2 linked regions of the Anolis sagrei genome follow. The protein of the gene in region 2 interacts with the protein of the main gene of each other region in a biochemical or structural test. Links are inferred from orthologs where the notes say so. Each region holds a gene or a part of one and is shown on either strand. Other genes may lie near its edges. The genes, in order: PEA15 and RPS6KA3.

Evidence for each region.
Region 1: the proteins of RPS6KA3 (region 2) and PEA15 form a complex in vitro, tested with the Homo sapiens proteins (2 studies listed by BioGRID). The link is inferred for Anolis sagrei from reciprocal best matches to the Homo sapiens genes RPS6KA3 and PEA15.

The regions. Positions count from the first base shown.
Region 1 is NC_090032.1:7,494,854-7,498,775, forward strand, and holds the start of PEA15 (astrocytic phosphoprotein PEA-15), read right to left. Parts: upstream 2,306-3,922; 5' UTR 2,052-2,305; intron 1-2,051. UniProt on the Homo sapiens protein: Blocks Ras-mediated inhibition of integrin activation and modulates the ERK MAP kinase cascade. Inhibits RPS6KA3 activities by retaining it in the cytoplasm. Inhibits both TNFRSF6- and TNFRSF1A-mediated CASP8 activity and apoptosis.
Region 2 is NC_090023.1:88,386,009-88,389,930, reverse strand, and holds the start of RPS6KA3 (ribosomal protein S6 kinase alpha-3), read right to left. Parts: upstream 3,070-3,922; 5' UTR 2,709-3,069; coding exon 2,631-2,708; intron 1-2,630. UniProt on the Homo sapiens protein: Serine/threonine-protein kinase that acts downstream of ERK (MAPK1/ERK2 and MAPK3/ERK1) signaling and mediates mitogenic and stress-induced activation of the transcription factors CREB1, ETV1/ER81 and NR4A1/NUR77, regulates translation through RPS6 and EIF4B phosphorylation, and mediates cellular proliferation, survival, and differentiation by modulating mTOR signaling and repressing pro-apoptotic function of BAD and DAPK1.

The sequences.
Region 1 (3,922 bases), on a different chromosome or scaffold from region 2:
AATAATAATAATGATAATAATAATAAGAAGAAGAAGAAGAAGAAGAAGAAGAAGAAGAAGAAGAAGAAATATAATAATATATAATGAAACTTTATCTCTCCGAAGGGACTTGGGACAGTTTCCAGCATATATGGCAAACATTCATTGCCAATGAGAAGACATAAACAACAACAACAATATAATAATAACAATAATAATATATCATAATATATAATAAAATAATATATAATGAAACTTTATCTCCTCGAAGGGACTCGGGGTGGTTTCCAGCACACATGGAAAACATTCAATGCCAACGAGAAGGCATGAACAACAAGAACAATATTATAATAATAATAATAATAATAATAATAATAATAATATAAAACTTTATCTCCCTGAAGCGAGTCGGGGTAGGTTCCAGCATACATTCAATGCCAACAAGAAGGCATAAACAACAATATAATAATAATAATAATAATAATAATAATAATAATAAAAACTTTATCTCCCCGAAGGGACTCGGGGCAGTTTCCAACATATATGGCAAACACCCAATGCCAATGAGAAGACATATAAACAACCACAATAATAATAATAATAATAATAATAATAATAATAATAATAAAATACTTTATTTGGAGACCGCCCTATCTCCCCGAAGGGATTCAGGGCAGTTTCCAGCATTTATGGCAAGCAATGAGAAGACATAGAAACAACCACAATAATAATAATAATAATATAGGTAATAAAACTATCTCCCCAAAGGGACTCAGGGCAGTTTCCAGCATATATGGCAAATATCCAATGCCAGGGAGAAGACATAGAAACAACCACAATAATAATAATAATAATAATAATAATAATAATAATAATAATAATAATATAAAACTATAATAATATTAATAATACTAATAATAATAATAATAATAATAGATAATAATACTTTAACTCCCCAAAGAGACTCAGGGCAGTTTCCAGCAACTATGGCAAATATTCAATGCAAGTGAGAAGACATAGAAACAACCACAATAATAATAACAACAATAATAATATAATACAACTTTAATAATAATAATAATAATAATAGATAGATAGATAGTAAAACTTTATCTTCCCAAAGGGACTCAGAGCAGTTTCCAGCATATATGGCAAATATCCAGTGCCAGTGAGAAGACATAGAAACAACCACAATAATAATAATAATAATAATAATAATAATAATAATAATCTTTAATAATAATAATAATGATGATGATGATGATAATAGATAGATAATAAAACTTTATCTCCCCAAAGGGACTCAGGGCAGTTTCCAGCATCTATGGCAAATATCCAATGCCAGTGAGAAGACATAGAAACAACCACAATAATAATAACAACAATAATATAATAAAACTTTAATAATAATAATAATAATAATAATAATAATAGATAGATAGATAATAAAACTTTATCTCCCCAAAGGGACTCGGAGCAGTTTCCAGCATCTATGGCAAATATCCAGTGCCAGTGAGAAGACATAGAAACAACCACAATAATAATAATAATAATAATAATAATAATAATAATATAAAACTTTAATAATAATAATAGATAATAATACTTTATCTCCCCAAAGGGACTCAGAGCAGTTTCCAGCATCTATAGCAAACACCCAATGCCAGTGAGAAGACATAGAAACAACCACAATAATAATAATAATAATAATAATAATAATAATAATAATAATAATAATTTTCCAAGCCACTTTGGGGGAACTTTGGGGCGAGAGAGGGGAACTTTGTGGGATCCAGGCTTAGAAGGGAGAGAGAAGGGCTGAGAGTGGCGCAACAGGAAATAGGGAGATGTTGGGAAGGTACCTGGAAGAGGGAACTAGAACTCCCAAGGGTGGGTGGGATTTGACCATCCCCTCAACCCCAACCCTCCCATCAGGGTGAAGATGGAGCCCTTTGCCCATGTGGGAGAGCGCCCAGAGAAGGAGAGAATGGCAACCTGGAAGGATCAGGGATGCAGGAGAGAAGAGAGAGGGAGGGAAGAAGGGCAAGAGGATGGGAGAGGGTCTGGCTTACCCTCAGGGGCCCCTCCTGGGCACGGATACAGGGCGAGAGGGCGACCCAGAAGGCGAGTGAGGGCTCTTCCTGCTCCGGGCGTGGCGAGGGATGCCTGGCTTGGGCGACTTCTCCTCCTCCTCCTCCTTCTCTCTTCTCTTCCTCCTCCTCCTTCTCCTCCTTCCCAGTGATGTCAGCGGGCTTGGCGGCTTTTGTGCTGATGCGCGCGGCTTTTGGGCAGAAGCCTGGAGCCCAAAATGAAGGGAGGGAGGGAGGGAGGGGAGGCAGGCCCTGTGCACGCGGGGACGCGCGTTCACACGTGACGCGCCTTGGGAAAGCGTGCAGAGCGGGCCGAGCGGGGCTATGCAACGCCCCCTGTTGCCTCCTCGACTCTCATAGGGAATGCAAGTCTTTTGGCTCCACTATAGCTGCCTGGAGTCAATGCTAAAGAAACCTGGGAGTTGTAGTTTCCCAAGGTCTTTCACTTCCCCTGCCAAAGACTGCTGATGCCTTTCCTAACTACTGATGCAATGCATGTACATTGACCTCACTTGAACTGCCCAGGCTCATTGTTAAGGAATTCTGGGAGTTATAGTTTTCCAAGGTCTTTCTCTTCCCTCTGCCAAACTCTGCTGATGGATCTCCCCCAACTATTAGTGCATCACTATATCTTTTCATCTCACTTGAATCACCCTGGCTCAATGCTAACGAATCCTGGGAGTTATAGTTTCCCAAGGTCTTTTAGCGGGCAAAGCAGGGGTATGCAACACCCTCTTTGGCCTTCTCGACTCTCATAGAGAATGCATGTCCTGTGGCTCCACTATAACTGCCTTGAGTCAATGTTAAGGAAGCATGGGAATTGTAGTTTCCCAAGGTTTTTCACTTCCCTCTGCCCAACACTCACCCAACTATTAGTGCATCGCTGAATGTACTTTTTGACCCCATTTGAATAGCCCTGGCTCAATGTTAAGGAATCCTAGGAGTTATAGTTTTCCAAGGTCGTTCACTTCCCCTGCCAAAGACTGCTGATGCCTCTCCCAACTACTGATGTAACACTGTGCAATGAATGTACATCGACCTCATTTGAACTGCCCAGGCTCAATGTTAAGGAATTCTGCGAGTTATGGTTTTCCAAGGTCTTTCACTTCCCTCTGCCAAACACTGCTGATGGATCTCACCCAATTATTAGTGCATCACTCAGTGTACTTTTTGATCCCATTTGAATAGCCCAGGCTCAATGTTAAGGAATCCTGGGAGTTATAGTTCTCCAAGGTCTTTCACTTCCCCTGCCAAAGACTGCTGATGCCTCGCCCAGCTCCTGATGTTACACTGTGCAATGAATGTACATTGACCTCACTTGAACTGCCCAGGCTCAATGTTAAGGAATTCTGGGAGTTGTAGTTTCCTAAGGTCTTGCACTTCCCTCTGTCCAACATTGCTGGTGGCTCTCACCCAACTACTAGTTCATCGCTGTGGAATGAATGGACCTTTTCACCCCACTTGAACTACCCTGGCTCAGTGCTAAGCAATCCTAGGAGTTATAGTTTCTCAAGGTCTTTCACATCCTGTATCTCCATTGTGGAATGAATGCAGTTTGGCTTCACATTGGATCAGCTCAGGCTCAATGTTAAGGAGTCCTGAAAACGATAATTCCCAGGATTCCTTAACATTGAGCTTGGGCTGTTCCAAGTTGGGTCAATATACATTCATTCCACAGTGTTGCATCAGTATTTGGGTGAGTCAGCAGTGCATGGTAGAGGAAGTGAAAGACCCTGAAAAACTATAATTTTCCAAAGTCTTTCACTTCCTCTGACAAAGACTGCTGATGACTCACCCAATTACTGATGCAACACTGTGGAATGAATGTACATTGACCCAACTTGGAACAGCCC
Region 2 (3,922 bases):
AGATGAGAGGGGATGAAATCTGTGCACTCAAAATCATGCTGTGGACTCTGAACACATAGAGCAAAGAGATTTATCTATTCGTCTGTTGTGTGAGATGGGAGATTAAAACGCTAATAATGTCTAAAAGCAGAACTGGATTGTGAAACCACCCTTCCGCTTTCTCCACCTGCCTGCCTCAAGAGGGAAAGAGTAAAAGCATTGGGGTGTGGGACATGATATTAGTCTGTAGCATCAATAACAAAGACTAGTCTTGTAACACCTGAAAGGACTTATCAAATTCATTACTATTTATAGAAATCAGAAAATGTTATCCCTAAAAGTTGTCAGGTAGAGAGAGTGAGTCCTAAAGACACACAATGGTAAAGGTAATGGATGAGTACTTTGACTTAAGAGTAATTGAATTGGGGGTGGGAAAGTGGAGATAGACAGGAGTCGATGGCAAAACAGGCTTCAGATAGGAAGAAACCAAAGCACTAGGCATAAGGGTGGCCCTTCGATGCTTCTTCCCAACTCTCAAAGTACAGATTGAGTATTCCTTATTCGGAAATCTGAAACACTCCAAAATTGCCCATACAGGTGACTGAATTAGTGACAACTTAACTTTCTGATGGTTCAAACTTAAAACACAAATTAATACAAAAATGTGTTTAAACTTACCGTCAGGCTATGGATATGAAACATATGTTAATTTCCTGTTTAGATATACCCATTTCCAAGATATCTCAAATATTCCAAAATCTGGTGTGTGTGTCACCTCAATCAAAAAACGCTTCAGGTTCACACTTGCCTCAAACAAATATGAGTTCTTTCTCCCATCCTGGACATTCCACAGATATATATACACCTCCCCTGCCTAGTTTCCAACAAACCTCACAACTTCTGAGGATGCCTGCCATAGATGCAGGTGAAACTTCAGGTGAGAATGCTTCTGGAGCATGGTCATACAGCCCAGAACACTCACAGAAACCTTATCACTGTTAGTTATCATTTTACATTTTAAATAAAGGGCTTTCTGAAATCCTGGGTTGATATGAGTTTTCTGGGCTGTATGTTCCAGAAGCATTCTCCCCTGATGCTTCATTCTCATTTATGGCAGGCATCTTCAGGATGCGGTGAAACATTCTCACAGATGTGGGCGAAACGTCAGGAGATAATGCTTCTGGAACATGGCCATACAGCCTGGAAAACTCACAGCAACCCAGTGCCATCTTCACTTCCACAAACTTTGTGTTATGTGCAATACATTTAAGAAAGTTACGTATAACCTTCAGGGTATGAATATAAGGTGCACATGAAACACAAGTTAATTCCCTGTTTAGATTTGGGCCTCCTTTCCAAGGTGTCTCATTATGTATATCTAAACTATTTTTAGGTGAATTTGTTGTTTTGAGGCACTGTGTATGTGCCATTGTATGCCGCCTTGAGACCCTGCTGGGATAGAGAAAGGTGGGGTATAAATACGGCAAATAAATAAATACTGTATATACTCGAGTATAAGCCTAGTTTTTCAGCCCTTTTTTTAGGCTGAAAAATCCCATTTGGCTTATACTCGAGTCAAGATTATTTATTATTTAATTCTATTATTATTATTATTATTATTATTATTATACTCTAATTACATTTATTATTTTACTCTATTGTTATTATTACATTTATTGTTTTACTCTATTACTGTTATTATTACATTTACTATTTTACTCTATTATTCTTGGAAAGATGTACAAATATATTTACACTGAAAAAGGTTGGTATCATGGTTTAATCAGAGTTGGACAGTCTTATCTTAAATTACAGTTTTATGTAAATATTCAAAAACATTTCACCTACTGTTTCCTCAATTAATGTAATTTTATTGGTATCTATATTTATTTTGTATTACCGGTAGCTGCTGCATTTCCCACCCTCGACTTATACTCGAGTCAGTAAGTTTTCCCATTTTTTGGTGGTAAAATTAGGTGCCTCGGATTATACTCGGGTCGGCTTATTCTCAAGTATATATGGTAAACACATGAATAAATGCAAATTCATTCAAAAAATGAAGGGGAATCAAAAATCAAAAACACTTTAAAGTCCCAAGTGTTTCAGACAAGGATAAGTGACCTTCACTTCCACAAACTCTGTTTTATGTGCAATGTAATTAAAAATGTTATGTACCACCTTCAGGCTATGTATCTACAGTGTGTTTGAAACATATGCCAATTCCCTGTCATCTCATTAGGAATATCCAAATAATATGCTAGATCAAAAACACTTCAGGTCCCAGATAAGGACAAGGACACTTCCTTAAAGTTGAGTAGTTGAGATAAAAAAACCTGAACGTGGGGTGCGGCACCTCTCCCCAAAACAGGCATGGGTAAACTTTGGCCTTCCTTCCAGGTGTTTTGGACTTCAACTCCCACCATTCCTCACAGCCTCAGGACCCTTCCTTTCCCCCCTCAGCCGTAATTTTTAATTACGCTAAGCGGCTGAGGGGGGAAAGGAAGGGTCCTGAGGCTGTGAGGAATGGTGGGAGTTGAAGTCCAAAACACCTGGAGGGAAGGCCCAAGTTTGCCCATGCCTGCCCCAAACCTTTTCCACACATACCCCCCTTCTCTCTCCCGAGTTGCCCCGCTTCCTGAGGGAAACTCTACCTCGGCGCTGTTGCCGCTTTCCGCCGCGTTCTCCACGGCCATCTTCTGCCAGGGGTCGGCCAGCTGCGCCAACGGCATGGTGGCCCCTTAACCTGAAGCGTCCCTTCCTCCCTTCTTTTTCCGCTTCTTCCTCCTCCTCCTCTTCTTCCGCCGCCTGCTTTTCCTCAGAGTCCCACTTCGGCTCAGGGTCGGGCTCCTTCCTCCTCCCCGCCGCGGGGAGGAGACGGGCGGAACACGCTCCCTTCCTTTTCCCTGCTTTCCTTCCTTCCTTCCTTCCTTCCTTCCTTCCTTCCTTCCTTCCTTCCTTCCTTCCTTCCTTCCTTCCCTCGCGGAGGGAGCGCAGGACTTTCCAAGCCGGAGGGTGAACAACCAGCAGCGCCGCTTCTGCCGCTCAGCCCGCTTCCGCTCCCAATATGGCGGCGCCCGAGCCGTACCTGCCTGTCAAAACGAAGGGGGATGGCGTCATCCCAAGGCGGACCAATCAGAGGCGGCGGCAGGTAGTTTTTAAAAGAGGGCGTGGCTTAGGAGAGGAGGGGGCTGGAGAGTTAATCTGGTTGCGACAGGCGTGGGAGGGGGAAGAGAGAGCCGGGAAGAGAGAAGGAGAAGGGAGGGGCTCCCTGCCTCGCGACAAAGCCCAGCCGGTCCCGCGCGTCATTCCTGGCGCGCGCCTTCCCCGCGTCAGTTCAGTGGAGTGAACCCTTCGCCTCCCCCAATCGCCGCCGCCCGCTTCCAAGCCGTGACGACAGTTCGCAGTTGGAAAAAAAAAGTCATTGGAGTCGTCCTCCTCTCCCTCCTCCTCCTCCTCCTCCTCCTCCTCAGGAAGTGGTTTCCGTTCTGGAGGGAGGCCTTCAGTTCTATTACTTTCGGCCTTTGTTACTTTGGGGATAGTATGATAGCTGTGTCCGGAAGCGCACATTTCGTAACGGCGTTCGTGAATAAGGGAAGAAAAGGGGCGGAGGGAGAACGTGGAGAGCGAAGAAAGGATAGAAAGGAGGGGGCGCTAAGGGTAAGGGCTAAGGCAAAGTTTAGGGTTACGCTTAGGGGTTATTTATTTATCGTGTCAGGGGCAGACCAAACAGTTGCATATGTTTATTTTTTAACAAACAAACAAAACACAAGTTTGCAAGATTGGTAGTTGATTAGATGTCCTTTGACCAGTATCTGGCCACTTGGAGTGCCTCTGGTGTCGCTGCAAGAAGATCCTCCATTGTGCATGTGGCAGGGCTCAGGTTGTATTGCAGTAGGTGGTCTGTAGTTTGCTCTTCTCCACACTCGCATGTCGTGGATTCCAC